7 linked regions of the Oryctolagus cuniculus genome follow. The protein of the gene in region 5 purifies or fractionates together with the protein of the main gene of each other region. This does not show direct contact. Links are inferred from orthologs where the notes say so. Each region holds a gene or a part of one and is shown on either strand. Other genes may lie near its edges. The genes, in order: LARP7, NOP58, DCAF13, TGS1, FBL, SIRT7 and NOLC1.

Region 1 (4,324 bases), on a different chromosome or scaffold from region 5:
TTTTTTTTTTTTTTTAAAAAGGTACAAGTGTAGTCTATGATTATCACTGTAGCAGGCTCCAGTGTCAACAATGAATCGTAAGGAGCAGACAACCTGTTTTCCAACTAGTTTCCTTGTCTGAGCCACCACTTAAGAAGCAGTGGACAGAGCTGCACATGCACATAAGTCACAATTCTCCCAGAAAACTTTCCCCTCCATTTTCACAGCTCAGCCCAAAGACTCCTTCTTTCTTATTAAAAGGATTATTTTTGTGTCTTACAGTATTTAAGCTCAGACTGATGAAATATATCTTCAATTAAAAGACAAAGACTAAACAGAAAGTGATATAAGAAATGGTTAAATTTACTTTTCCCAAACAATGACTGCAGAAAATCAGAGTTATATATTGTGATTCCACACATTCCAAGTCTCCAACTCTCCTCCCCAGGCCTGCTTTACCACCATGCTCTTACTTAAGGATACCTATTCTATCAAGCTAACAAATGATGCTATGTGCTAGCTGCACAGATTTTGAGCAAGTTACCTCATCTATGGCCTATAAAACATGGATAAAAATTATAACCACATAATATGGCTGTTGTGAGGATTAATCACAATAATGGAAATGAAGCACTTCAAATTGCTGCTTTACAGAACATACTCAATAACATGTAATCATTATCATGATTTAGCACTCTAAATCCTATCAATTTGACTTCTCATTTCCTTTGTTCCTTCCTTCCTCCTTCCATCTATCCATTCATTATTTTCCACTACTGTCACTAGTAACAAGATAACATTTGATAAAGTATCCTAGCAGCCATACACAGAAGCCTATGTGTAACTTGTCTGGAATGGATTCGTTTTTCTGAGATTGATGTCAAACCCCAACATCAGAAATTCTTTGGCACTTTTCAATGACATGCATTAAAAGAAAAAAAAGAAAACCAACCAATCTGGCTTCTAAATATAGGCTTTAAACAAAGAATAAGTTACTGTGTAACAATGCCAGTTACTCTACATTGTTCTAAAGCCTCAGAAACCCACTAGGTAGTTTATTTTCACAGAAACTCAAAGGTTAAGTGACTTGGCTAAAACCAGCTGGGTAAGTGAGCCCAAGTCTGTTTGACTCTTAATTCCTACTTTCAGTAGAGCCACTTGTAATTTGTTACTAGCATGCTATGTTCTGACCCAGGAATTCTTTCTTTTTAGATCTAGGTGATTACAATTTCCTTTACTTCTTTCTCTTTCAAAGGCCAGAGAGAGCGAGATCTCTTCCATCTGCTGGTCCACTCTCCAAATGCTTGCAACAGTTGGGGCTAGGCAAGGCTGAAGTCAGGAGCTAGGAATTCAATTGGGGCCTCCCATGTGGTGACAGAGACCCAATTATTTGAATTACCATCTGCTGCCTTCCAGGGTGCCAGGATGTGCTAATCGGGAAGCTAGATAGGAAGGGGAAGAGCTGGGACTCAAACCCAAGAGATCTGACAGGAGTTAAGATGCTGTTCAAGCAGCATCTGATCAGCTTGGACAAAGTCCTGCCCCTCACGCAAGGCTTCTTGTGAACTTGGCAGTTACATTGTGGGGCAGTGAGTTAAGTCACCAAGTGGGACTTAGACATTCCTAATCCTGGAGGCCTGGGACGGAGTCCCACCTCCAGCTTCCTGCTACCCATGGGGGAGACCGGGATGGAGTTCCCGGTTCCTGTGTTTGGCCTGGTCCAGTCCAGCCTTGGCATTTGGGGAGTGAACCAGAGGATGGAAAACATCTCTTTCTCTCACTCTCTGTCCCATTGCCTTTCAAGTAAATAAACATTTTTCCGAACTTCATTAAACTGCGAGGTAATAACTACATCTCCACTAGACAAACCTGATTTCCATTTATCATTTTCTACAAGTTACACAACTGTAAAAGAGCTCAATGACAATAAAAGGCATTGATATCTCGGAGGAGTTAAACAAGACCCCAAGTAATTATTTTTTTTGCCATTTCGAAGTCTTTCACACATTTCCTAGTAAAATTAAACAGAAAATATTTTGATAAGTATATGCACATTCTCTTGGGAAGCTGATGCGTAACTTTTATCACTTTTTCAAAAGAACTCCTGTGTCTAATAAACCCCTATTCGGTTTTCAAGGCTCAGGGTAGGTGGCATCTTAACTTCCACCGCTACCTCCTCCTCAATTGCTCGATTTGTTTTCCCCAAGTACCTCTAGGAATGCTTTTGGTATGCAGTACTTAGCACTCATTGCTAGGTCCTTCTCACAACTAGATTTTCAACTCTTCGAGGAGAAAACTAGAGTCGTGTAAAAGAAAATGACTTAGAACACAAGTTCTCACATTCGCTATCCTTTGGCAGACAAACTTCAACTCCAATTGGCAAAATAAAGCACTTTCCCTAGCACCTACTGATCTTCTCGGCACCCGTACTTCCTTACAGACGCCGGCAAGCGCTGGGCGTGCCCCAAACCTCGCAACGCCGGGCGCTATGCGCCCCCACTCTCCGCACACTGGAACTGCAAGAGCTAGCAGAGGACTTCTGCGCGTGCGCACAGAGAACTAGGCCTAGCGAACCCAAGGTAGCGTGGGAGGGGGCGGGACGAGATAGCCGACACATGATAGAATGAGCTGCTAGAAAAGAGACTGAGGATTAACACTACTCAATGAACGCGACTTCGGGGCCACTTGCAACTTACTCGATTCAATTCTAAAAATACAGCGTCAGCGACGGCGTCCTTCAGCCCCTTCCGTCTCCTGATGCTTAAAGTCGTGGTTATTGCGCGTCATAGGATAAGCGACACCACACTCTCATCCTCTTCAGAAAGACGGGCCCGGAGGCCGTACGTCCGCCGCCTACGTCACACGCGAGGGCTGGCTCCAGGAGGGCGGGACATCGGAGAGCGCGACCTGCCGAGGCGGCTGGAAGCCAATGAAGATTTTGATTGGCGGGTTAAAAATGGCGGTTCTAGGTGAGGCGGGGTGAGCGGCCTCAGTTTGGGTCTTCATCCGGTGTGGTCCCGGTTTGATGACGTCACTAAATTTTCGCGGGAGAAATTCGAAAAGTGGATTTTGTGCAGTGGGACGAGGTGAAGTGGCTTTCGGGGTATCTGGGAAATGAAGGGTGGACAGTGAAGGGGACTTGAGCGATTTAGGATTAGGGGCCGAAAGAGTCCGTTCCGCAGAAGCGGACCGGGAAGAATGCTGTTTGGGGCCGAGATGGGGGCGGTAGCAGGCGCAGCTTGCCCGGACCGCCCGTGGTAATTGGTGTCTCCTCTTCAAGTCTTTTGTTTTGCAATTCCGCCTGCCCGTGAGGACCAGAGGGGTATTGCTGTTTGTTTTCATGACCCTAAAGTCTATCTCTATTGTCCTTCAAAACAACGGCTCAGATTTATTAGGATCTTGGCAAATGACGTGTGGATTTCCTTTGGTTGTTTGTTCTGGTTGGTTTCCTAATAGGATGTTGAGCTCGTATTCTGAAACTTTTAAGTTTGAACCGTTAAGGAGTTTAGGTTTGAAACATACTGCTTGTTCAAAAACATGGGAACCAGAAACATCTTGTAATTTACAGGAAAAATGGCTCATTAAAAAAAAACGATTTATTGTATGTATGTGAAAGAGCTACAAAAAGATCTAGAGCCAGAGATAGTCTTTCATCCGCTTGGTTCACTCCCCAAATGGCCACAGTAGCCAGAGCTGAGCTGATCCTAAGCTGGGAGCCAGGAGCTTCCTCTGGGTCTCCCATAGAGTGCAGGGCCTCAAGGAGTTGGGCATTTTCTACTGCTTTCCCAGACCATAGCAGAGAGCTGGATCGGAAGTGGAGCAGCGGGAACTCTAGCCGTCACTCATATGGGATGCCAGTCCTGCAGACCAGGGCTTTAACTTTCTGTACCACAGCCCTGGAAAATGGCTCATTTTTAAAAACTGAGAACACCCAGTTTTGCATATGTAATATAACAGCACCATAATATATCTGTGTGTATGTGCATATATAATTATCACTGAACATTTGGAATCTCCACATCATTTTAAAAAGTTATTTGCTGATTTATCTTTCACGGATTAGGAAGTGGGTCACCACTTGAATTGTCTGACAAATGTAGACAGATTAGCACTAAGAAAAAAAATTAATATCTTTTTATTTAGAAGATAAGACAAACACACAAACCGATCTTCCACCCTCTGATGTTGGCCAGGACTGGACCAAACCAAAGCTGGAAGCCAGGAACTCCATCTTTGTCTCCTGCATGGGTTGCAAAAGACCCAATTACTTGAACTCCCTGCTAGGATGTACACCTGTAGGAAGCTGGATTGGAAGAGGAACCAGGATTCCAACCCAGGCAATACC
Region 2 (3,683 bases), on a different chromosome or scaffold from region 5:
GAGTCACACGAGTCAGGTCACCTATCATGGGTCTACTCGCATCTTGCAAGTGATAGCTAACTAGTTATTCTGCATTGTCAATGGTTCAGTGAATGAGCTCTTATAGCAGCAGTTCATATCTGAAAGCAGCTCAAACTATTATTCCAGTGTTTTCCTTTAGTTTCTACTCCAGACACCAGTGATACTCCTTAAGGCCATTCAAAAACAAGTCCAGGAGTCGGTGCTGTGGTATAGTGGGTAGGGCTGCTGCCTGCGGTGCTGACATCTCATGTGCGCTGGGTAGAGACCCGGCTGCTCCACTTCTGATCCAGCTCTCTTTCTACCTCTCCTCCTCGGTGTAGCTCTTTCAAATAAAGAAGTAAATCTTAAAAAAGAAAAAAAATTGGGCCGGCGCCGCGGCTCACTAGGCTAATCCTCTGCCTAGCGGCGCCGGATTCTGTCCCGGTTGCCCCTCTTCCAGGCCAGCCCACTGCTGTGGCCAGGGAGTGCAGTGGAGGATGGCCCAGGTGCTTGGGCCCTGCACCCCATGGGAGACCAGGAGAAGCACCTGGCTCCTGGCATCGGATCAGCGCGGTGCGCCGGCCGCGGCGGCCATTGGAGGGTGATCCAATGGCAAAAGGAAGACCTTTCTCTCTGTCTCTCTCTCTTTCACTGTCCACTCTGCCTGTCAAAAAAAAAAAAAAAAAAAAGATTATCCTTTCCCCCACAACAGTCTTCAAATAGTTCTCTGAAGAACTATTTTTTAATTAATTTATTAATTTATTTATTAATTCTCACTTTATTTGAAAGGAAAGACACAGATACACAGATAGACCCAAGCACCTGGAACCATCAACCACTGGTTTCTCAGACCCATTAGCAGGGAGCTGGATCAAAAGTGAAGCAGCCAGGATGGAAATAGCACTCTGATAGAGAATGCTGGCATTGCCAGCTCATGGTTAATTTTATTTTACTGAACTCTTTATTTTATAAAACTTTAGCTTGATTGAACAGAATTGCTCATCTTACAGAAGATTAAAGGACATGTCCAAGCCTCAGTTTCATCATCTGTAAAGTGCAGACACACATGTGGGTTATAACAACATGTGGGTTATTAAAAGATTCAGTGAATGTCTAGCAAAGTGTCTCACCCAATGTATGTATAAATATTTTTCATAGTTCATAAATGCAGTCAGATCAGTTTTCTTGCCACACAGAATACATTTGGTTGGGCACTCACAAAGAGGATCCTAAAATGATTTGAATAGGACCAACAACAATTTCTGCTAATCTTTTATGTCAATGCACACCCACAAAAAAGTGTTTATTAAAGAACACATCATTCCCTATTTACTAAAAGACAACAAAAAGTTTACATGCAGTAAAGACAGGGAAAAAGCTTATTGTCTGGGAAAAAGAAGTCCAACTTCAGAAAAATTGTAGCTCACCTTCCCTTTGTGTTTAGGACTTGTCTGACCCACAAGAGAAGCATGATAAATGAGACCGTACTTCGGGGTGTCCCGTCTTGACTTGAGGGCTCTGAAGAGTGCCTTTTCTGCTCCAAGAATCTGAACTGTTGAAGCTGCATGCTTGGCTAAATTCAAAAGAGAACCTACAAAAGAAAAAAAGTATGTAGGTAGAAAGAGTGTACTTGCAAGCATTCAGAAGTTCCACATGCTAAGCATTAGCTTTCCGCTCTATTTACACAGCTATCATACTAATAATAAAATACAAACAATTCAGGATTCTGTAATACAGAATTCACTGAAAGTTCTCTCATTTGTGACTCTCATTAACATAAGCTAAGGCTTTTTGTGATACATGCCTGTGATAATGATATTATTTATTTTCCTAAAGGGTGGTATTACTACTATTCTACATTCCATGAACACAACACAAGGGTGATATAAATATAGAAACACACACACACATATTTATCCACACATAAACCAATCTAATCCTGATTTTCTGAGATTTGGGACTTTAAATAAATAAATATTATTTCAGATATGAATATGAATACAAATAACCAGATATATTAGATACTTCAGCAGTACCTGATCAATCACCCATACTTTACTTATGCTTATTTCAGATATAGATTCAGAAGAACTGTGTCTACAACTATACTCATCAGCAAGAGATGGCTTTGTTGGGTTTGTTGCATGGAATATATTCTGTCAGAAAACACATTCCAGGTCTGGCGCTGCGGGGCAGCGGGAATCCGCGGTCTGGGACACCAGGAGCCCGTATGAGCACCAGTTTGAGTCCCAGCTGCTCCACTTCTGATCCAGCTCCCTGCTAATGCTCCTGGGAAAGCAGAAGAAGATGGCCCAAGTGCTTGGGCCCCATGTACCCATATGGGAGACCTGCCAGAAGCTCGTTCCTGGCTTAGGCCTAGCCCAGCTACGGTCAATGTGGCCATTTCAGGAGTGAACCAGTGGATAGAAGCTCGCTCTCTCTGTAATTCTGCCTTTCAATTAAATAAATAAATAAATCTTTTTTTTTTAAAAGGAAAACACATTCAACATTAAGGCTACAAATTCAAGCACTAGACAAGATTAAAGTGCAAACACACTTCTGTTAAAACTCTGCATCTCACACTGCTAAAACTTAGCTACAGCTATGAAATGTGGCTAAAGATAAAGAAACCAAATCAAATTATTTTTCTGTTTAAAAGAGTTACTTAATTATTTGAAAGGCAGAGTTAGAGAGAGAGATCTTCCATCCACTGGTACACTCCCCAAAAGGCTGCAACAGCCTGGGCTGTGCCAAGCTCAAGCCAGGAGCTACTTCCAGGTCTCCCACATGGGTGGTAGTGACCCAAGTACTTGAACCATCTTTTGCTGCTTCCCAGTTTCCAGGCCATTAGCAGAGACCGGGATGGGAAGTGGAGCAGTCAGGACAGGAACCAGTGCCAATAGGGGATGACAGCATCTATGCCACAATGCCAGAACCCCAAAGCAAATGATTCTAACCTTATATCCTAGGATAGATCAATGGGATATTTGTCTGATAAAATGATACAGCTAAAGCAGTTACTCTAGTTTTAAACACTTCCATCTAGATGATACTTAAGATTTTATAGAATAGGGTATAACAACAGCACTAGTGATAGAAAATTTAACTCATTATATCCTACTGCATTTATCTGATTATTCCAATTAACTATAACAAACTTCTGACAATGGACCACAAGTGTCTCAGAAGAGGTAGTGACTAAAGATGCCTTCATTATCCAAAAGGAAATCAGGCAAACAAATAAATGTCATCATTGAACACTTGGCCCCTTAGCCCATACCCACATGCCACTTATCTGCTTTTATCACATAAAATGTTTAATAACTACTTCAAAGACATAAAACCTTGGCGAGAAAACAAACACTTAGGTTTATAAATAACATGAAAACTGTCACCTGCATGAGCAATAAGCCGTGCTCCAACTAATTCCCCGACCATGACTGTAACATTAGGTGCAATGGCCATCATGCGATTCTGTAGATATTCATAGAGCTGGGTTCTATATTCAGAGATTTCAATCACCTAATATACGGAATAAATAAGTCACAAATACCTTTTAGGAAGAAACAGTGCCAAATTCACATGCTGTCAATACTGGAGTCCTGATTTATCAAAGACCAGACATTCAAATTTACTCCTGACGTCAGTATTCCATAAAATGGTTGTTTTGTGGATTTTGTTAG
Region 3 (4,333 bases), on a different chromosome or scaffold from region 5:
AAACCTATGTAAACCCAACATTTATGTCAGGTGTCAACAACAGTTAACCAGCCACCTCAGGATTACCAAGGCAGTTTTAAAAATATAGATTCCTTGGTCTCTATTCCAGTATCTGGTATCACACAACATCTACAAGGAAATAACACTTAAACAAAACAAAAACAAATGAATAGATAATAAAATGTCTCCTTTTACAGAACCCCAAAACTTTATTCTTCCATTTTGCTATCAACATTTCCACCAGAAAGTAAAACAGGGATATGTTACAGAAATCAAGACTAGAAGCCTGGCTGGCATGGCGGCTCACTAGGCTAATCCTCCGCCTGCGGCGCCGGCACACCGGGTTCTAGTCCTGGTTGGGGCGCTGGATTCTGTCCCAGTTGCCCCCCTTCCAGGCCAGCTCTCTGCTATGGCCCAGGAGTACAGTGGAGGATGGCCCAAGTGCTTGGGCCCTGCACCCGCATGGGAGATCAGGATAAGCACCTGGCTCCTGGCTTTCAATCCAGGCAGCGTGCCAGCCATAGCGACCATTTGGGGGATGAACCAATGGAAGGAAGACCTTTCTCTCTGTCTCTCTCTCTCACTGTCTAACTCTGCCTGTCAAAAAAAAAAAAAGACTAGAAGTCTAACAACTTCCAAACACTGAAATTTCATGATAAGCAGTCACCCATTCATTCAAACACTTATAAAGCAACCATATGTGCCAGCTGCTGACTAAATAAACATAGTGCATACATGAAAAGGATTCTTCCCCACTTGTAAGCTTATTCTGATGGGAAAGCCTGTGTTAATCAAAATAAAGATCATAAGACAACGTGGTAAACACTCTGACAGAAGCGTTAAAAACATATGATGGGGGCCGGCGCCGCTGCTCACTAGGCTAATCCTCCGCCTTGCGGCGCCGGCACATGGGGTTCTATTCCCGGTCAGGGCGCCAGATTCTGTCCCAGTTGCCCTTCTTCCAGGCCAGCTCTCTGCTGTGGCCAGGGAGTGCAGTGGAGGATGGCCCAAGTGCTTGGGCCCTGCACCCCATGGGAGACCAGGATAAGTACCTGGCTCCTGCCATCGGATCAGCGCGGTGCGCCAGCCGCAGCACGGTGGCCATTAGAGGGTGAACCAACGGCAAAGGAAGACCTTTCTCTCTGTCTCTCTCTCTCACTGCACTGTCCACTCTGCCTGTAAAAAAAAAAAAAAAAAAAAAAAATGATGGAAGCAAAGAAGGGGCTGTTAAGTGGCGGAGGGAATATGCATAGAGGTAAAAGAGGGCCGTTCAGAGGCGTTTTCCTGAGGAAGTAGACAAGTTGGGTAAGGGTACATGCCACAGGAAGTGTAAAAGAGAATGCCTAAATGCACTCTCTCTGGCCAGAGTGAATCTAAGTTACCTGTGGAGAAAGTAGTGGCTGGTGAAAGTAGACATGAAGAAGGGACCAGAGAGGTGCCAGGAGGAGGGATGATGTCAAGTTTAAGTGACAAATTTGCATTTGAGAAACATTCCTATTACGTAAACCTACCCTGTAAACATCTTGTGAGCAGAAATCATATTTACCCCTTACAATCCTCACATACACACTGATAATCTCTATTACTCAATTAAAATAGTGAAATGCTAATTCCAAGGGCCGGTGCTGCGGCACAACAGGTAAGGCCACCACCTGCAGTGCCGGTATCCCTTTTGGGCGCCAGTTCGAGTCCTGGCTGCTCCACTTCCCATCCAGCTCTCTGCTATGGCTTGGAAAAGCAGTAGAAGATGGCCCAAGTGCTTGGGCCCTTGCACCTGTGTGGGAGACCTGGAAGAAGCTCCTGGCTCCTGGCTTCGGATCAGCACAACTCTGGCCATTGCAGCCAATTGGGGAGTGAACCAGCGGATGGAAGACCTCTCTCTCTGCCTCTCTGTAACTCTGCCTTTCGAATAACTAAATAAACCTATTAAAAAAAATAAAAAGAAATGCCATTCCAGCTTCATCTACCACCAACCCCTCATTTACACGCCAATGACATGGCCCTTCTTGCTATGCATTGAGTTCATTCTTGACTTAAAGACCTTTGCACCTGCTAGTCTCTTCACTGGGAATGGTCTGCTCACACAAGCTTAGCTCCTAGCCATTTAGGCATCATAAGCTACCATTCCTAAGTGGTCAGATTGATTTTGGAAGAGCAGAGCAGTAAGGATAAATATATCTCATTAATATATCTCATTCATCTTCCCCTCAAACTTTCGGTAAGAACTGTTGATAAGAGAAAACTGACAGCTTTGAATCTCGTCGTTCCCTCTTCCACATCCATAAGGATGTAAAGTGAAGTGGTAAAGTGGCCAGGAGTGAGAGCAACAGGAAGATTTAAAGAAGCCCGTTTAATTCTTAAATCCTTTAACCCACGAGTTTGGCCCAAATTCCACTTCGAATACAGGAACCTGAGGACAGAATGCAACAGCAGGACATGGGGGAGACGGAAGTATTCCCCATACAGAAAATGACCAGTATTTCCCACTCCAAAGCCGAAGAAATTCTTGGGAAAGAATTTGAAACGACAGTACCCGCTACTCGGTTCCGTAATGGCCCTAGCTGCCAAAGCTTGCCTTGGCAAAGGAAACTGGGAAAGAACAAGACTGGGACGCTGGGTTCCCCCTGACTTCCACTCTGTGGACACCGAGGCCAGACCCCAGGATTCGCGAAGGGCGTCCCACCTCTCTGTAAGTCCAACTTGGTTTCACGGACATAGTTGTCCGGGTTCCGGCTCAGCATCTTCACCTTCATCTCGGCGGCTCTTCCTCAGCGACCCACACGAGTTTGCGAGCCGCGGCGCGTACCACCGCCGCCTCCTCCTGCACATGCGACTTCCGCCTTCCTGATACTACTTCCTGTTACGTACCTCCGGGGAGCGGAAGCCGGCCGGCCGGCTCGGCTGGATCCTGCGGCACTCCGTAGTTTTGCCGGCAAAGGCTGGCAGGGGGCGTTTCCACAGCCGGGCGCTCCTGCCCTTGCCCTTCTGCCGAAGCCCGCGGCAGCAGTGGGCGAGGCTGGCCGGGGAGGCGGAGGAGGCTGGCAGCCCGCCTCCCTCGGGTTCTCCGCGGCGTGAGCGCGGCTGCGCCCCTGCACCGCCCCCTCTGCGCTACGGTCTCCCGGCTTCGCTCCCGCGATCGGGGTGTCAGAATTATCTCGCCGGTCCCGGAAGTGGGCTCGCGCCCGCGGTTCCTACCCCCGCGCGGCCACTGTCGCCACGGTGGCGGCCACTGCATCTCGTCCCACCTCCGCGGCCCTGGGCGCCGTGGTGTCGGCGGGCCCCGAGCCTATGACGGGCCAGGGCCAGTCGGCGTCCCAGTCGTCGGCGTGGAGCACGGTGTTCCACCACGTCCGGTACGAGAACCTGGTAGCGGGCGTGAGCGGCGGGGTCTTGTCTAACCTCGCGCTACACCCGCTCGACCTCGTGAAGATCCGCTTCGCCGGTAAGAGCCGGCCCAGACTCAGGACCGCTCCTTCTCCCAGTCAGCCCGAACTGGGGGCGGGGGAAGGCTCAGAAGGAGGCTTTGGGTTCCCCTGCCTCTAACCGAACTACGAGCAGGGGGTCGTTGAAGATGCCCGACTGTCGGGCTCACCTGGAGCTAGATTGAGGAGGGGGTCCGGTGAGGAAATCCGGCCTCCGTCCCCCTCGCCCAGGAAGACCAGGGGATGGGGCGTGTGGGTAGAAGAGTCTGAGAAAGTCTGTTGTGGAAGTTGGGAGTCAAGTCCTGATTTGTAAATGAAAGAAGGGATTGTGGCATTTTAGGACTTAGCCCTAGAGGAACAAATCGTTCACCCTGGAGGTACTTTGAAACCGTAGTGTAGCCACGTGTTTGGCAGAGCTACGGAAAGGAAAATGCTAGCGCTTGGGGTCGGGCACAGTTCTCAGCGGGTGGTTGGGAATAGGTTTGGAATACAATTCTATTGAGATTTCTTTTGTTTCATTTTGTTTTGTTTTGGTGTGTATACAGGTCTAGTGACGAATCGGTAGCTAGTCTACGTGCTACCGATTTTTTTTTAAAGCATCTTAAGTATTTTGAAATTGATAAAGCATTTTAGAAGTTAAACTCGATAGTAAATTCTGGAAAAGATAGTCTCAAAGATAATCTTTGATGCCTTTTATTTGGAAGCTTTTCTGGCATTTTGAGTTATCACTACAAGTTAAGTAGAATTACATCTGCAGAAGTAGAGAACTCTATTCAGTTCACTTGGTAGAGATTTCTCTTGACTTTTATAGATTGTTGTATGGGCTTAAGATGTACCTGAAGAATGTACCTTCAGATGTACCTGATAGAATTCTTGGCCTGAGGGAATACAAAGTCTTGAGCTTGAGTCTT
Region 4 (3,683 bases), on a different chromosome or scaffold from region 5:
GAGTTTGTTAAGGTTTCCTGCACTGGCTACCAAGGAGTAACAAGAAAGAATGATACTTTTGAGACCCAAATACTCTTATTAATACAAAAGGGTAATATACAACTATGATCTAAAAATAAGATGGAAAATAATTTAAGTATTATACTATGAAAAGAGTTGCTATCATTCAACTCCACCATACAGGATTAGCAGTAGTTGTTTTGCTAAATAGGTTTATTTTGCTAACTCTCACTTAGTAGAACATTTTTTTTGTCTAATCTTACCCTGGGCTGGTTGGTCTGTGTTTGTATTCCCAGATAAGTTGTTCTCCTTGGTTTCTCCATTACTTGGTTCCCTTTGGCCAGAAGTAGGGCACTCTCTCCTGCTGCTGTCCTCACTTAGCTCCTGATGACCATCACAACTTACTGAGGAGTCTAACTGGCTCTGGCCTATTTCCTCTGAATTCAGAGTTATATTACTAATTCCAGCAAGTATTTCATTATGATCCTTATCATTGGAACTAGAGCTTTCATTATGAGCTGTATTAGGTGATGATGGAAAAGATATTAAGCCAACTTTCATGCAATTTTCATCTTTTTGGTTATCAACTTCTGTTTTCATTGCACAAGTGTCTATATTGCTGTTTTGTGAGGTATCAAAAGTCCAACCCTGAGCTTCCCAATACTGAAACTGTTCCAAATAATACCAATAAATTTGACTATAATGTTGTTCCCATTCTTCTTTCGTTTCAGGAAAGTTCCAAGGCTCAGAAGGCAGTGTTTGATCTGGATGTTTTTCTTGCCAACATTGCCATAATAGTTCTCCTCCATATTCATTCCAATACTGCTCCCATTTCTCTGTAATTTCTAGCTTTGCAGATAAAGTATTTTCAACAGGAAGACTTTTGGTTTCAACATCCTTTTTGCCTTGAAATTTACATGTTCTGGTATTTTCACAGTGTTCAACTGAAGATGGATCATCTGAGGCCAAAATGTCATCTTCTTCATATTCCTTTCTCAAAGATTCTCGTATCATTTCATCTAAGTACTTCTTTTCATGTTTTCTCTTTTTCTTTTTTATTTTAACTTTATTTCTAGTATTCATAGATATCTACAACAGATAAACAATAACTTGAATATAAAATGTACTTCATTAAGTATAAAAGTAGAATCCAACATTATTTTGACATTGAATTAAATAAGATACTCTAAAACCCTATGTTGGGCTTTTAGGTACACAAGCAAGTGATTCTTACATTTAAGTTCCCAAGAGGAGGAAGAATCACACATGGAACTGTTACAATTTGCAATTTTGGTGAATCTACAAATATGTACTTGTGAAATTTTATGAGGAAAACCAAGAAACAGAAATAATAAAAGTATATTAATATTTACCTCAAAATTCTTATGTGCAGAAACGCCACCAAACTGAAGCGGCAATCCCATACTTCTCATGAGTTCGGCCTCAGAATCAAGTTCGCTTTCATCCAGTCCCATGCGTTTGGTGTCATGTAATTCAGCAGTGCAGAGGGAATGACCCTCTTCCTCGTCTTCTGTAGCCTGGTCTCCTAAAGGTAGCATTGTGAACTTAGTTTTAGAGAAAATTTTGAGGTGAGTTTTCTTATCCTTATTTTAAAGAATTTGATAACCAGAATGATTACACCATTTGTAGTGTTATAATTCTTAAGTGGAAAAAAAAAAAAGAACTGATGGTCATATAGATTAATCACATGAACAGCCAAAGAAGAATTCAGACAACTTCTCTTCCAGCTCTGCCTGCCACTGTCCATTAATCTGCTCAACTGTGGCTCCCTTACTGAGTATCTGTTCTGTGCCATGCACCACACAAATACTGAGGATAGAAATGAGAGGGGATAGGACAGTGTAACTTTGGGAAAAACACTTCTGTGTTCCCATTCCTTACCTGAAAAATTGCTACATGAGCTCGTGGATTTAAAATCCTGATCTGGGGCCAGTGCTGTGGCATAGTGGGCTAACCTTCCACCTGTGGTGCCAGTATCCCGTATAGGTGCCAGATTGAGTCCTGGCTGCTTCACTTCCGATCCAGCTCTCTCCTATGGCCTGGGAAAGCAGTGGAAGATGGCCCATGTGCCTGGGCCCCTGCACCTAAGTGGGAGACCCAGAAGAAGCTCTTGGCTACTGGCTTTGGATTGGCCCAGTTCCAGCCACTGCGGACATTTGGAGAGAGCCAATCAGTGGATGGAAGCCCTTTCTGTTTCTCCCTCTCTGCCTGTAACTCTACTTCTCAAATAAATAAGATCCATAAAAAAAAAAAATTCTGATCTGTGGAGTGATTGTAGGAGCTTTAGCATGAGGTAAGAGAGGTTTGTCTTCAGGCCCCTCAGAGCCACTTTGATACAATGAGGACTGAGGTCCTAGGATTCGATGGAAGAGCTGATTTAACCAAAGTGTTCTGCTCTTAAACATTTGAAATTCACCAAACGGGGCTAGTGTTGTGGCCTAAGCAGTGTCCGCATCCCATGTGGGCGCTGGTTCAAGTCCTGGCTGTTCTAATTCCTATCCAGCTCCCTGCTAACACGCTTGGAAAGATGGTCAACTCTTTGGGCTCCTGGTTTCAACCTGGTCCCGTCCTGGCCATTGTGCCCATTTGGAGAGTGAAGCAGTGGATGGAAGATTCTCTCTCTCTGTAACTGACTTAAAAAAAAAAAACAAGGAAAGAAAGAAATCCACCAAACTGGAAGGTTCTTTCAAGCTTCCTGATTTCAGATCTTGGAAAAAACCATTTATCACAACCAAATTCCACTTTGCCTGAATATGGTTATCTAGTAGTAGTAATAGCATTAATTAGACCAATGCCACTTAAGTGCTCTATTAATATAATAATTTTTTTGTCACAATATAATGAGTTAGTGTTGAGCTGCTACATGGGACATCTGAGTTATATCAAGTCCACACAGGAGTTACAGGAAAGTAACAGATCTGCTCTGAGAGAATTTAGGATCACATTATATAAAGGGTAAAGACTATGATTTCACAACTATTTGTCGTTTATCATGTTTTACATCAGCAAGTTAACAAATAACAAAAAAGCTTGATGATCTCCGACAATAACACAGTCAATCTTAAATGGCAATATAGAGACAAATAAAAAAGAAATCTCCCATGTGTAAATTCTACAAATAGGCTCCTAGGAGAGGGAAACAGATTAAGAAGGGGATTTTACTCACTATTCCATTCAATGAACTTACAAAAGCTCAGAGAAGAGCAGAATGGGGGAAGGGAATGGCTCAGTTTTATGTTCCTCTCCTGGCATGCCTGTTTTCTTACAGTCAGTGGCAGCCTAGTGTTTATGGAAACCTTATTTCTGCAGCACTAAATAACACAAAGCAAACATTTCACCCAGTGCTTCACTGAACACACAGTGATGTGTTCCAGCACCGTAGAGCTAAGAGATTTTCAAAGGTAACAAGAATGCATGGTTTTTGGGGGCTCACTTTGGCTTCTGACTCCACATTGTAGTTTTCTATGAGTCTCAAAACATAAAGGTCCAGGTGGAAGGGCAAAGTCAGGCAGGGAAGTTGGACAGACCAAAATCTACTTGCTATTTGGGAAAGTTAACTGATAGCAGCCTCTTTACTTCAGGAAAAAGCCAATGGATGTTCACTTGGAATTCATCCTTAATCATTTACTTAAATAGAAGTATTCTAATGAGGAAACCATACA
Region 5 (4,448 bases):
CTCCGTCTGCATGACTACTCCCCAAATGGCCAGGGTAAAGCCAGCAGCCAGGAGATCCATCCAGGTCTCCCACCTGGGTACAGGGTGCACTTGGGCCGTCCTCGCTGCTTTCCCAGGTGCATTAGCGGGGAGCTGGATGGGAAGTGAAACAGCTGGAACTGGAACCGGCTCCCACAAGGGATGCTGGGGCTCACCCTGCTGTGCCACAACCCTGGCCTCAAGAACCTAGAACTTAATCCAGGTCTCCGTGGGGGTGGCAGGGCTCAAGTACTTGAGCCATCATCTGTTGCCCCCCAGGGTGGGCATTAGCAGAAAGCTGGATCAGAACAGAGCAGCAGGGACTCGAATCGGGCACTCTGATACGGACGCATCTTAACTGCTGTGCCATGAATGCCTGCCCCAGCATGGGCACTTTTACAGATGCTGATATGGGGCCCAGGCTGGGAGGCGCCGTACTGAGGGCCTGGCCTTGGGGTAATTAGTCCCCACTCCCTCCTGCTCAGGAGGAAAGCTACAACCGAGGCCTGACAGAGCAGAGACCCTGGGAAGGCCCGGCATGAGCACTGGGTACAGGGTCGTGAGCGTGAACTGTGCCTGAAAACTCAACTCGTCGCTAATCCATCGCCGGCCTTGCGGCTCGTGCACCAGAAGCCACCGACTCTGACTCCCAGGGAAGCTTCGGGCGCACAGCCCACAGACTCCCTGCTTCCAAAACTGCCCCCACCGCCGTCTTCCTCACCCACAGGGCCAGCTCCATCCTTCCAATTCCTCTCTCACATCCACACAGTCGACTGGTGCTATTTCCAAAACACATCCCCAGGTCATCCATTTGTCAGCAGGTCCACTGCTGCCATCTTGGTCCGAACTGCGTCACCAGGTTTCAGCGACACGCCTGCCACCGACGTGCCTGCAGCCACTCTGCTCCCCTAAGGCCCAGTTTACACAGAGGGCCCCTCTTCAAGATGTCAATCAGGGTGCAGTAGGTAAAGCCAACACCTGCCGTGTAGGCATCCCATATGGGCGCCGGCGCAAGTCCCAGCTGCTCCACTTCCAAACCAGCTCTCTGCTATGGCCTGGGAAGGCAGCAGAAGATGGCCCAAGTGCTTGGGCCCCTGCACCCACATGGGAGACCAGAGAAAAAGCTCCTGGTTCCGGATTGGCACAGCTCCAACTGCTGCAGTCAACTGGGGAGTGAACCAACAGATGGAAGACCTCTCCCCGCCCCTGCAATTCTGCCTTTCAAATAAATAAATAAATCTTAATAAAAGAAAGAAAGCTGTCTATCAGACCGCACGGCATCCTGCTCAGAATCTCCCAGAGGCTTCCCATCCTATCACAGCATGCGGCAAAGCTGGGAGGGAGAGGCTGCTCCCTCTGTCCCTGGGGGAATCTCAGGTGGCTCGAGGCCTGCAGGCATGCCAGGTTCCCAGGAGGAGAGATCTACAGCGTAGCATCCACCCCACTTCATCAGGAGACACCCAAGGGAACGAGGCTCAGGAGGAGGGCATGGATCCACAAGCTTCCCCCAACCCCCCCACGACCCCCATCTCCACACACACAGGGAAACTCAGACCCTTTCGGCCACAGTGGAAAACTTCCCAAACTCTGTGCAGCAAGTTCTCAAACAGAACGATTGTGGGGGTTGGGCAGAAGGACCCTCATTTTGTTTCCCTTGAGAAGCAACCTGAACCTGTTATCTATATGGCCAGTATTGGGCTAATTGTTTTTAAAACATCATCTCCCTTGGGGCCAGTGCCATGGCTCACTTGGTTAATCCTCTGCCTGCAGCGCTGGCACCCCATATGGGCGCCCGGTTCTAGTCCCGGTTGCTCCTCTTCCAGTCCTGCTGTGCCCCGGGAGTGCAGTGGAGGATGGCCCAAGTGCTTGGGCCCTGCACCCCATGGGAGACCAGGAGGAAGCTCCTGGCTCCTGGCTTCGGATCGGCGCAGTGCCGGTCCTGGTGGCTATTTGGGGGGAGAACCAACAGAAGGAAGATCTTTCTCTCTCTCTCTCACTGTCTATAACTGTCAAGTTAAAAAAAAAAAAATGATCTCCCGTAATAGTAACCAGGTGCCATATTATTGATGCAAAAACCGGTAAAATCACTTGTTCAAGGTCACATACACGGCGAACGAAGAAGCGGGGCCAGGATTCGAACACTGAACCGAGGCCCTGCTCCTGTCAAAACCAGGAGTCACATCCTCCCGCCATCGGGGCTGAGCAGCCCCACACCCCTGCCAAGGGCGGGCTTCTAGAAACCCACTCCATCGCCGGGGGCAGCCCCCCGGAAGCGCAGGGAGCGGCTTCAACAGGGCCAGGGGCTGCTAACGATGGTGGTGGCGGCAGCCAAGGGGCGGCAACGGGGGCCTCCCGACCCTGCTGCCAGCCCCAAGACCAGGCACTCTCGGTGTCCGACCCAAACCCACGCCCAGGGACCCAAGACCTCAGAGACCTGGATCCAGGCTCTAGGTCCGAGCCCCCCGAGGGCTGCCCAGACCCAAGAGCCAAAAATCTCTTCCTAAAGACGGCTTCCGCGAGACGAACCCTGGGCCAGGAACGCTAACCTCAAACCAAAGCTTCTGACTCACGGCCGCGACCCCCGAAGCCAGCCAGAATTCCCCAAACCCCCAGGGCTCAGGATCGACCCCAGGTTGGGAGCAGGACCGCCCCCCCCCCCCCGCCCTCCTCTCCACACGAGATCGGCTCCCGGGCTCGGAACGCCAGCCTGCAGGCCAGGACCCTGCCCCTCCGATTCCGGCCTGGTACCCACATTCCTTCCGGAGCCCAGTCCCCAGCCCGCGACCCCAACCCCAGCCTGCACCTGGCTTCATGGCGAGCTACCAGTTGCGCCGTCTGGGGAATCTGCGGCGTCCCTGAACGCACGAGTCTGGGGCTGCCGCACGTGGAAAGGAGCGCAGGCGCGCGGCGACGTACGGCGCATGACGCGTCACGCAGCCCCGCCCCCGGGCTCCCGGGCTCCCTGCCCCGCCCGGCGCTCTGCGCGCGCGCAGTGGGCGGGGATTTCCCGAGTCCCGGGCTCCGCCCCCTCCGCGCTCTGCGCTTCCCGGGCTTTGCGCGCCCAGGTGTCGCGGCCGCGCTCAACCTGTCTTCGCTTCCTCTTCTCCGGTGCAAGGATCCCAGCGATCGGGACTACTTCGCACAGGCTGTGCCCCCTGCCCCTCTTGTGTCTTCCTAGCTACATCCCTGAGGCCCCCTCTAAGAACCATAAAACCGTTCTTTACCCAATTCCACCCCTGAGACCAGGGCTGTACTCTGGGTTCTCATTTGTATTGGCACAAACAGCATGTAGGGTGCCTCTTGTATGCGCCAGGCGCTGGGAATTCAGCAGCGAACAAAACAGAGAAACTGCCGCCCTCCTGGAGCTCGTCTTTTGTTTATTTTATTCCAAGATTTATTTTATGGATTTGAAAAGCAGAGATACAGAAAGAGAGGGAGAGACAGAGATCTTCCTTCCGCTGGTCCACTCCCCAAATGGGCCAGACTGAAGCCAGGAGCTTCTGCCAGGTCTCCCACGTGGGTACAGGGGTCCAAGCACTTGGGCCCTCCTCCGCTGCTTTGCCAGGTGCATTAGCAGGGAGCAGGGTAGTGACTCGAACTGGCGCCCATATGGGATGCAGCGACGGCTTTACCTGCTACTGCTACAGGGCCGGCCCGGACCTCATCCTTTAATGGGGAAAACATCAAGTCAGCAACACACGGTGGTGGCTAGAAGTCCATATGGGACTTCTGAGAAATGAGCTCCAAGTGTGAGGCTCCCACTTTTCAGGGACAAAGGAAGGCTCGGGAGTGCTGGAGACACAGTGGTGAGTGTGGCCGGGGCAGAGTGAACCAGGGGAGGGTGGGAGGGGCCCCGGGCAGGGAAGCAGCAGGGCAGACTGTATGTGTAGGGCCTCTGTGCTTTTACCCCGAGGGAGACGGTGCCATGGCAGGGACCTAAGCAGAGAAGGGGCTCCATCAGACATGGGTCACTCAGGCCACGGTGGGGGTGACGGCGGGAACAGAAGAATGAGAAGCGACCAGGCAGGAGCCAAGGTTGGACCACAGCAGCGTGTGGGCAGGGAGGGGTGAGGAGGGCTCCTGCGTGAAGTATTGAGAACACTGTGCCGTGCACTTTTGTGATACTAATATGCGTCCCACGGAGCAAAGCAGCGTTGCTGCTGGGAGAAGTTGCTGAATGCACCCACGGGAACCTCCTGGTGTGCAGCCCAGGCTCCGGGTCTGCTCCATGCACTGCTCTCTCGCTGGGAGCCCAGAACAGGCCTGTGGATGCTAAGCCGCTGCTTTTCAAATGAATGAGTGAGTGAATGAATGAAACCACACAGTTTTTTTTTTTTTAAGATTTATTTATTTATTTGGAAGGCAGAATTACAGAGAGGCAGAGGCAGGGAGAGAGAGGTCTTCTATTACTGGTTCGCTCCCCAGATGTC
Region 6 (4,413 bases), on a different chromosome or scaffold from region 5:
TGAGTGAGGAAGAGGAGCAGGGCAGGGTGAGCTCGCGGGGCCTTGATCCGGCCCCCAGGGCTTCTGGGGTTGGCGAGGCCATGCGCTGGGGTTCCCGTCCCCTCACTCGAGCCCCTCTCCCCTCACCCTGATTTCTCCGCAGTAGATTCTGTGTCCACGCGTGGCTCTGTGTGTCCTTCGGGTCGTGCTGGGTCTGTCTCCCACCGTGAGGGTGTTGTGTTCTCTCTTCTCACCCCCCCCCCCCCGACACGGCGGATGGAGGGCTGCGGCTGAGGCCGGGCCTCCCGAACCTGTCCGCCAAGTGAACCCAAACCTGCGCCTCCCCTCCTGCCTGACGCCGCCCCGGCCCCTCCTGATCCCGGACGGACACGCAGACGTCCCCACGCAGCGTGGCCCGGGCTCCCTGCTGGCTTCAGTGGGTCTGTGCGCGCACCCCTGGCCTCCGTGGTCGGCGTCGGGGGCCACCGCTCTGGGCTGGTGGTCAGGCCCTGTGCCTGCCGCCGCCTCTCTCGAGCGGCGGCTTGGCCAGAGCTCCCGTCCACAGCGGGGCAGCCCGGGCAGCCCGCTGCACACTTCCGCTCTGGGATCCTGTGAGTTATTTTTTAGGCTGTGGTTTGGTGAAAGGAACCAACACATTAACGATTTTCCCCCCCCAGAAGCCACTGAGTGACTCCTCCTGGCACGGGTTCGGCTTCCTGCTGGCTGTCTGGTCTTGGGGCAGGTGGGAGAGCAGAGGCTGTGTCGTCGGTGCCACGCAGGCAGGCGTGTGTGTGTGGGGCTCGGGGCCCCTCCTGCCTCTGGGCTGTGCGCGTGGCACCTGCTGGGCCGGCTGCAGGCTTCCCGCTGCACGCCCGCCGCGAAGCTCTGGCTCTGAGAGCCGGGGTGGCCCTGCGCGTCTGAGCTGGAATGGCAGAGCGCGGCCCCTCCCCTCAGCCCCAGCCCCTGCCCGCCCCTCCTCCCTCCCGTTCAGTTCGCGAGTCCCTGAAGCCTTTAACCAAACGCAGTCGCTGCGGACAGCCTTCTCCCGGTGACCCGACCCCGGGCAGCAGGACAAGGGCTGCCTGCGCGTGCGGGCTGTGCGGGGGCTGTGCGGTTGGTGGTGGCCCCCTGCTTAGGGCCGAAGCCTGCAGAGGTGACCGTGGGGTGCCCTGGGGTCCGCAGGGCGGGTGGGGGGCTGATGCAGAGCTAGGGAAGGGAGGTGCCCAGGCGACCCGCAGTGGGTGTGGGGCGTGCGTGGGAGGGACCTGTCCCCGGGGCCCCGCGCCGTATTTATTGCTAAGTTATTGTCCAGGAGGGGCGGCCCTGGGCCTGGCCGCCGGTATTTATTGCTGTACATAGTGTATGTTTGTGATATATAAGGTTTTCTTTATTTTGTATATGATCAATAAACACCTTTTAAAAAGAGATTGGCAGGTGCTTCCTTGGGGGCGGGGCGGCGGGCGGGGCAGGAAGGGCGGGGCGGGGCGCGCGCGCATGCGCCCCGGGCGGCCGCCGGCGAGGCGGAAGCGGAAGCCGGAAGCGCCGGTCTCCGCGGGGAGCGATGGCAGCCGGGGGTCTGGGCCGCTCGGAGCGCAAGGCGGCGGAGCGGGTGCGGAGGCTGCGGGAGGAGCAGCAGCGGGAGCGCCTCCGCCAGGTAGCCCGCCCGCCCGCGCCGCGCCCCGCGTCCGTGTCCGTGGCGCGCGGGCCGCCTCTCACCGCCCGCCCGCCCGCAGGTGTCCCGCATCCTGCGGAAGGCGGCGGCCGAGCGCAGCGCCGAGGAGAGCCGGCTGCTGGCCGAGAGCGAGGACCTGGTGACCGAGCTGCAGGGCCGGCGCCGGCGGCGGGAGGGGCTGAAGCGGCGGCAGCAGGAGGCAAGTGCGGGGCCGCGCGGCGGGGCCGGGCGGCAGGCGCGGGCTGAGCGGTCGGTGTCCGCAGGTGTGTGATGACCCGGACGAGCTGCGGAGGAAGGTGCGGGAGCTGGCCGCCGCCGTGCGCAACTCCAAGCACTTGGTCGTCTACACGGGCGCGGGGATCAGCACGGTAGGGAGGCGCGCGCGGCCCAGAGCCACACTCGCCCGGGCCGCGCTGGCCCGGAGCGCCGCGGGGCGGGCGTGGGGCGCCCCCTCCTGGGACACTGACCGCGCTGGACGGCGCGACTCGGCCTCCGCGCTGCCGGGTGTGCGGGCAGAGCTGAGCCGCGCCGCGCCGGTTCCGCAGCGGGAGGCGAAGGGCGTGGGGCCGCCGACGGCGGGGCTGGGGCAGGGGGAGCTTTGCTGGACGGGGGCGGCCCGCAGGGGGAGGGGGAGGCACTGCGGGTACCAACGGGCCAGGGCCCAGGGTACTGAGCGCTTCCTGCTGAGCCTCCCGTCTCCACCGCGAGTGGGACAGCCCAGCCCGGCGGTTCTCGAGCCGCGGCCCCGTGGCCTGGCTGGCGCTGTGACCTCAGTGTCGGGCCCCTGGCGCCGGCGGGCACTTCTCGGAGCTCGGGCTGCCTGGGGAGGTGGGGCTCGTGCAGGGGGGGCCTGGCAGTCTTCTGTGTCCTTTGCTGGAAGGGGCGACGTGGGGGGGTGCACAGGTCGTCCGTCATTGTTCAGGTGGGGAAGGGGCCGTTCAGAGCCCTGTGCAGTCCTCCCTCCGTGCCCGAGACACACGGGTCCTTGCGCCGTGCTGTGGCGGCTCTCGGGGCGCGGGGGCCTGGGAGGATAGTGAGGAGGGAAGCCGCACCGGGGTGCAGCTGCCCGGGCCCCGGCCGGTGGGCAGCCTGGCGCCCCCCTGCAGGGTTTCTGCCTCCCGGCAGTGCCGCCGGCCCACTGGGCTTATCTTTTTCCGAGCGCACAGGCAGCCTGCATCCCAGACTACCGGGGCCCCAACGGCGTGTGGACGCTGCTCCAGAAGGGACGGCGCGTCAGGTAGGGGCTCGGCTCGCCGGCCTGCAGGTCCTCACCCCACTTTCCCAGGCGAGCCCCGGCCTGCAGGTCCTCACCCCACTTTCCCAGGCGAGCCCCGGCCTGCAGGTCCTCACCCCACTTTCCCAGGCGAGCCCCCGGCCTGCAGGTCCTCACCCCACTCTCCCTTCCGCCGGCAGCGCTGCCGACCTGAGTGAGGCCGAGCCCACCCTTACTCACATGAGCATCGCCCGACTGCACAAGCAGAAGCTGGTAAGAGCCGGACGGGGCTGGCAGGCCCGGGCGCAGGGGAGCGGCTGCACCCTCTCTGTGGGAGGAGTACACGGCGGCCCCCCAGACAGAACAGCAGCCCCTCCTGGGAGCCGTCCCGTCCAGGGCATCTTGGCCCAGGGTTGCTCACCGCCCCCCCCCCCTCGCTTCACCCCAGGGCCCCCGAGGGCCTCCCGGGCACGGGGAGCCAGCGAGGAGGGGAGGGTCGCCCTCTGCCCAGGCCCTGGAGCCGAGCGTGGATCTGGCGTGGCCACGTCTGCCCCGTGGGAGCCCGAGCTGCAGCCTCACCGGAAGGGCGCAGACGCACGCTCGCCCTCCGGGTGCTCCAGGCCCGGCACTCTGCGGGCTGGGCCTGCCGAGAGCTTGGCTCTCCGAGGTTTCCTGTGGGGTCGGGGCTGTCGCTGGGCTCAGAGGGGCTCCCCTGCAGGTGCAGCACGTGGTGTCGCAGAACTGCGACGGGCTCCACCTGCGGAGCGGGCTGCCGCGCTCGGCCATCTCGGAGCTGCACGGGAACATGTACATCGAGGTGAGCGGGCGCGCGCGCGGGCGGGCGGGCAGACGGGCGGGCGCGCGGGCGGGCGGGCGGGCGCGCGGGCGGGCAGGCAGACGGGCAGACGGGCGGGCGGGCAGGCGGACGGGCGGGCGGGCAGACGGGCGGGCGGGCAGGCGGGCAGGCAGACAGGCAGGCGCGTGGGCGGGCAGACGGGCGGGCGGGCGGGCAGGCAGGCAGACGGGCGGGCCGACGGGCAGACGGGCGGGCGGGCCGGCGCCCCCGCTCACCGGAGCCTGTCGTCCCCCCAGGTCTGCACCTCCTGCGTCCCCAACAGGGAGTACGTGCGCGTGTTTGACGTGACGGAGCGCACCGCCCTCCACCGACACCAGACCGGCCGGGCCTGCCACAAGTGCGGCACCCAGCTCCGCGACACCATCGTGCACTTCGGGGAGCGGGGGACCCTGGGGCAGCCCCTGAACTGGGAGGCAGCCACTGAGGCCGCCAGCAAAGCGGACGCCATCCTGTGTTTGGGGTCCAGCCTGAAGGTAGGCGCCGAGGACCCGGGAGCCCGGGCTGGGGCCACGCCCCTGCTGCGGCCGCGGGCGCGCGCACGTGCCCTGTCTGTCGTCCGTGTGTGCAGGTTCTGAAGAAGTACCCGCGGCTCTGGTGCATGGCCAAGCCCCCTAGCCGGCGGCCCAAGCTCTACATCGTGAACTTGCAGGTAACCGGTGCTCAGGGCGGGGCCTGCTCCAGGGCCTGCGTGGC
Region 7 (3,683 bases), on a different chromosome or scaffold from region 5:
CCTACTTCCTACAGTGGATTGGGGTTTTTGATTATAGTTCTTTTTTTCATTTACTTGATTAGTGATTTCCAGTCATGTAGGAATTAATGAAACCAATATTGTGTGTCACATAGCTACCCAACAGAAATATAAATATCAATAAACGATATGTACGTTTAAGATTATTTTGTTCTCAATAATGTAAAAAAGAAAAGATGGCAGTTCTCAACTTTGTTCTCAGAACTGGTAGGGGTCAAGTCACCGAAAATTCAAAGTAGAAAGATTTGCTTTCAAATTTAAAACCAAAACATGTACTGTGTTGCCAACATTATATAATATAAAACCACACTCATAAAATAAAACTCAGATTAACTTATGTCATTCATACCAGAATAGAATTTTGCCTATTAACAAAAACAGTAAATTGTATCCTAAGATGTAGGTAGGTCCATGCTGGCTGAGAATTTCAGGCCCCGACCCAACAAATGAGGATGAACTACATAGTGCATGCTTAACAGGCATGTACACATGTTAATCATTCTTCAGTGCCTACAATGGGGCTTTGAGGGAAGGACGGATGAAATGTGAGCATACTCATAGGCAGAACTCTTCCCCAACTATAAAAATTCACACGTGACAATCTACTGTATCTTGGGTAATAGCTAAGATTTTATCTGTAGGAACCCACCTCTGAAAATCACAACAATAGTCATTAGGAAATGATTTAATATAAAATATACAAATTTCTCAGTGTGAGGACTTTCACAAAACAGGAAGAATGGGGGTGACAACTAAAACAGACTTTTAAAAAATAATGTTCCCCTTACCTCTTCCCTGCTACCCAACACTCAAAAAAATCTGTACAAAACTAGAACACAGAAAAAGACCACAGAAGATGTTATGTTGCAGTCCGAACTTCTGTCCTCACCAAGACCCTCCCCTAATTGAGCTGAGGGTCCCCAGGTCCACTGAAAGTGGGAGGTCTCTGATCATCACCCCTGCATCACCAAGGTCACTCGCTGTCAAACTTAACAGAGTTCACCTGGACCGAGATGGAGCCTCCTCGGTAGCTACCGCGCTTCTTCTTCGTCTTCTCGTGCCGGAAGGATTTGCCTTTGGTGAACTTTAGAACTTGATTGGCTCGTTCCCCCCAGTCCCCAGCTGCACCACGCTGGTGAAGCAGAGAAATACTTAACACACAGAAGGACAGCACCAGTGCCCCACCGTGCTCTTCTTTCTACTCTTTCATGGAAACTTAGTGTCTCCCACCAACCTGAATTGAAAGTTGCCCGTTCTTCTACTCCTCAACCCCCAAGAACAGCAAACATCCCTCACCTTGGCATCGAAGGAGTTGTCTGCCACTCGGGAATCCACTTCAATTTCTTCCTCCCGGACTCTTCGGAATGGGGATGATGCCCTTTTTTCTCCCTAATGAAGAATCAAGTTGGAAATTAAAGATGGGGTGGCCATCTAAAGCCCTCTGGAATAACACACCACGTGGTGCCAGGCCAGGCCAAGCTTTCAAGATGATCTCAATTTCTTTCTACTTTTAAAGGGCTGACTTTCTGAGAAGAAAATGAGATAACTCACCTTCTTCCTTTTAGGAAATGTGTTGGGGGTCTGCACCTTAATCTTCTTGGCTTGAGGAGTCCCTGCCTCACTGGCAGCCTCATTCTGCTTCCGCTTCTTTCCTGAACATACAAACAGAAAACCCCACAATCAGGAGACCAGTTTCCAGTTCCTTCTTCCATCCCACAGAGGATCTGCAAATAGAAGCCGCAGTGGGGTGGAGGGGGCCTCCTCTCCCTACAGTATCCTCCCAGTTATCCTCATCCTGGTTTTGAAGGACAAAACCCAGAGGGCAGGGTCTTCAGACACAGACCTGGCTTAGAAACTGCCACTGCCACTGCTGCCTTTTCTTCCTCTTCCTCTTCACTGTCCTTGCCTGCTTTCCCATTCTGGGCAGCAGTCAGGGCAGAGGTACCATTGGCCTTGGGAACTTGTGGTTTCGGAGTGCCCTTGCCCTTGTGCTTCTCTTCTTCCTCCTCACTGGAATCATCCGAGGAAGAACTGCTGCTGCTCTCGGCCTTCACTTGCTTTACGGAAGCAGGCTTGGAAGGTGCTACGCCCCCTGCTGCCTTCTGTGGCTTCTTCTTAACTGGGGCTTTGGATGTCTTCTCCTCCTCCTCCTCTTCACTGCTGGAGCTGTCGGAATCAGAACTGCCCTCCCCATCAGCCTGAGGAGGCTGTTTGGCAGGCACAGGTGGAACTGCTTTGGCAGTCACCTTGGACTTAGGGGTGGCTGCAGTCTTCTTTGCCTTTTCCTCCTCCTCACTAGAGCTGCTCTCCTCCTCACTGGAGCTGCTATCAGCCTTTCTGGTCAGAGGCTTCTGGCCACCACCTGCAGGCTGCTTGAGAGCGGCAGCTGGCTTAGCTGCAGGCTGCTTGGGAGTGGCAACTGGCTTACTCGAGGAATTCTTGGTGGCACCAGCTGGCTTGGCAGGAGCTTCATCCTCAGAGCTGTCGGAGTCTAGACAAACACGAAGGACAGAAGAATCAGCTCCCGAATCAATTGGAGGAACCCTGTAGCAGCTGCCCACAGATCACCCCGCTGCCCTGAGTGCCTCCCTAGCCATACCTGAGCTGTCTGAGGAGCTCTCCGCTGCCTTCTTTGCTGGTGCTGGCTTAGGGGTTGTTTTAGAGACAACTGCCTTAACTGGAGCTTTCTTCTCCTCCTCGGAACTTGAATCTAGGGAGAACCTGGGGCATTATGTTGGGTCCAGAATACCACTCCAACCAGGAGAGCAACAAAAAGAACACAGACACACAGAAAGCCTTAGCCCTGCCTCAGTTTAGCAAAAAACAGTAGAGGGACAGTGGATCTTCCCCCTCCCTATCCCTCATGGTCCTCCCTGCCACATGTGTGCGTGCACACACACTCCTAGCAGCACTCCTGACTCACCAGACTCATCACTGCTGTCTTCACTACTCTCCTCAGGCTGTTTCTTCTCTACAGCTTTCTTGGGAGGCTGGGTTCCTGGGGACTTCTTCGGTGCAGGAGCAGATGGTGGGGGTACTGAGCTGTAAGGACCTGTTTGAAAGGGACGACATGGTGATTTAAAAACATGTACCCAACTCATTTGACACACTGCCCTCTTCTGGATGCAGGGCCTGACTCATCTCAAGTACAAAGTACAAGGTGCAGGTCATGTCTTGCCACTTCCCAGTCTTTCTTGCTAGGACCCTCAGCTCGGGGATCATGTTACAAAGACACTCAACTCAAGCAGCTCCATGGAGAAGTCCGTGCAGTTATTGTAACTGGGTCCAGGACAATCGGGAGTTTCACTCCCCATGTTCACTAACCTGGTTTTTTCTTCACGGGTTTTTTCTGCTCCTCTTCCTCCTCACTGGAGGAATCCTCACTGCTGGAACTCTTCTGGGTAGGGGGAGCAGCTGCTTTGACTGGAGCCTTGGCCACAATTTGCTTTTTAGGTACAGCCTGTGTCCGAGAGAGAAAATCCATGACTTCAAAAAAATACTGATGAACCCTGCCAGGGAATGGAAAGACACACAGACCCTACATTCCCTGATACAAGTTCTAGCCCATACCTTCTTGGGAACGGCCACAGCCTGCTCCTCCTCGGAGTCGTCACTGCTGCTGCTGCTACTGCTGCTGCTGTCAGCTGCTTTGCCATTGGCCACTT

The links.
Region 1: the proteins of FBL (region 5) and LARP7 purify together in Homo sapiens (affinity purification with mass spectrometry; 3 studies listed by BioGRID and IntAct, counting the BioPlex papers as one, with this or other methods). This does not show direct contact. The link is inferred for Oryctolagus cuniculus from reciprocal best matches to the Homo sapiens genes FBL and LARP7.
Region 2: the proteins of FBL (region 5) and NOP58 purify together in Homo sapiens (affinity purification with mass spectrometry; 7 studies listed by BioGRID and IntAct, counting the BioPlex papers as one, with this or other methods). This does not show direct contact. The link is inferred for Oryctolagus cuniculus from reciprocal best matches to the Homo sapiens genes FBL and NOP58.
Region 3: the proteins of FBL (region 5) and DCAF13 purify together in Homo sapiens (affinity purification with western blotting; 3 studies listed by BioGRID, with this or other methods). This does not show direct contact. The link is inferred for Oryctolagus cuniculus from reciprocal best matches to the Homo sapiens genes FBL and DCAF13.
Region 4: the proteins of FBL (region 5) and TGS1 purify together in Homo sapiens (affinity purification with mass spectrometry; 3 studies listed by BioGRID and IntAct, counting the BioPlex papers as one, with this or other methods). This does not show direct contact. The link is inferred for Oryctolagus cuniculus from reciprocal best matches to the Homo sapiens genes FBL and TGS1.
Region 6: the proteins of FBL (region 5) and SIRT7 purify together in Homo sapiens (affinity purification with mass spectrometry; 3 studies listed by BioGRID, with this or other methods). This does not show direct contact. The link is inferred for Oryctolagus cuniculus from reciprocal best matches to the Homo sapiens genes FBL and SIRT7.
Region 7: the proteins of FBL (region 5) and NOLC1 fractionate together in Homo sapiens (co-fractionation; 3 studies listed by BioGRID, with this or other methods). This does not show direct contact. The link is inferred for Oryctolagus cuniculus from reciprocal best matches to the Homo sapiens genes FBL and NOLC1.

What each region holds. Positions count from the first base shown.
Region 1 is NC_091439.1:52,312,788-52,317,111, forward strand, and holds the start of LARP7 (la-related protein 7), read right to left. Parts: upstream 2,962-4,324; 5' UTR 2,676-2,961; intron 2,518-2,675; exon of another isoform or gene 2,190-2,517; intron 1-2,189. UniProt on the Homo sapiens protein: RNA-binding protein that specifically binds distinct small nuclear RNA (snRNAs) and regulates their processing and function.
Region 2 is NC_091434.1:37,686,791-37,690,473, forward strand, and holds part of NOP58 (nucleolar protein 58), read right to left. Parts: intron 3,523-3,683; coding exon 3,396-3,522; intron 3,262-3,395; exon of another isoform or gene 3,178-3,261; intron 1,592-3,177; coding exon 1,428-1,591; intron 1-1,427. UniProt on the Homo sapiens protein: Required for the biogenesis of box C/D snoRNAs such as U3, U8 and U14 snoRNAs. Part of the small subunit (SSU) processome, first precursor of the small eukaryotic ribosomal subunit.
Region 3 is NC_091437.1:128,636,897-128,641,229, reverse strand, and holds the start of DCAF13 (DDB1- and CUL4-associated factor 13), read right to left. Parts: upstream 2,868-4,333; 5' UTR 2,754-2,867; coding exon 2,684-2,753; intron 1-2,683. Other genes in the region: SLC25A32 (solute carrier family 25 member 32), read left to right, coding at 3,289-3,442. UniProt on the Homo sapiens protein: Part of the small subunit (SSU) processome, first precursor of the small eukaryotic ribosomal subunit.
Region 4 is NC_091437.1:81,020,264-81,023,946, reverse strand, and holds part of TGS1 (trimethylguanosine synthase), read right to left. Parts: intron 1,547-3,683; coding exon 1,374-1,546; intron 1,090-1,373; coding exon 264-1,089; intron 1-263. UniProt on the Homo sapiens protein: Catalyzes the 2 serial methylation steps for the conversion of the 7-monomethylguanosine (m(7)G) caps of snRNAs and snoRNAs to a 2,2,7-trimethylguanosine (m(2,2,7)G) cap structure.
Region 5 is NC_091449.1:14,143,488-14,147,935, reverse strand, and holds the start of FBL (rRNA 2'-O-methyltransferase fibrillarin), read right to left. Parts: upstream 2,966-4,448; 5' UTR 2,832-2,965; coding exon 2,822-2,831; intron 1-2,821.
Region 6 is NC_091448.1:1,005,783-1,010,195, forward strand, and holds the start of SIRT7 (NAD-dependent protein deacetylase sirtuin-7), read left to right. Parts: upstream 1-1,475; 5' UTR 1,476-1,540; coding exon 1,541-1,633; intron 1,634-1,712; coding exon 1,713-1,850; intron 1,851-1,914; coding exon 1,915-2,019; intron 2,020-2,817; coding exon 2,818-2,888; intron 2,889-3,064; coding exon 3,065-3,137; intron 3,138-3,582; coding exon 3,583-3,681; intron 3,682-3,956; coding exon 3,957-4,193; intron 4,194-4,288; coding exon 4,289-4,369; intron 4,370-4,413. UniProt on the Homo sapiens protein: NAD-dependent protein-lysine deacylase that can act both as a deacetylase or deacylase (desuccinylase, depropionylase, deglutarylase and dedecanoylase), depending on the context. Specifically mediates deacetylation of histone H3 at 'Lys-18' (H3K18Ac).
Region 7 is NC_091446.1:27,770,363-27,774,045, forward strand, and holds part of NOLC1 (nucleolar and coiled-body phosphoprotein 1), read right to left. Parts: coding exon 3,589-3,683; intron 3,479-3,588; coding exon 3,343-3,478; intron 3,071-3,342; coding exon 2,942-3,070; intron 2,729-2,941; coding exon 2,618-2,728; intron 2,510-2,617; coding exon 1,862-2,509; intron 1,671-1,861; coding exon 1,570-1,670; intron 1,408-1,569; coding exon 1,315-1,407; intron 1,151-1,314; coding exon 992-1,150; 3' UTR 1-991. UniProt on the Homo sapiens protein: Nucleolar protein that acts as a regulator of RNA polymerase I by connecting RNA polymerase I with enzymes responsible for ribosomal processing and modification.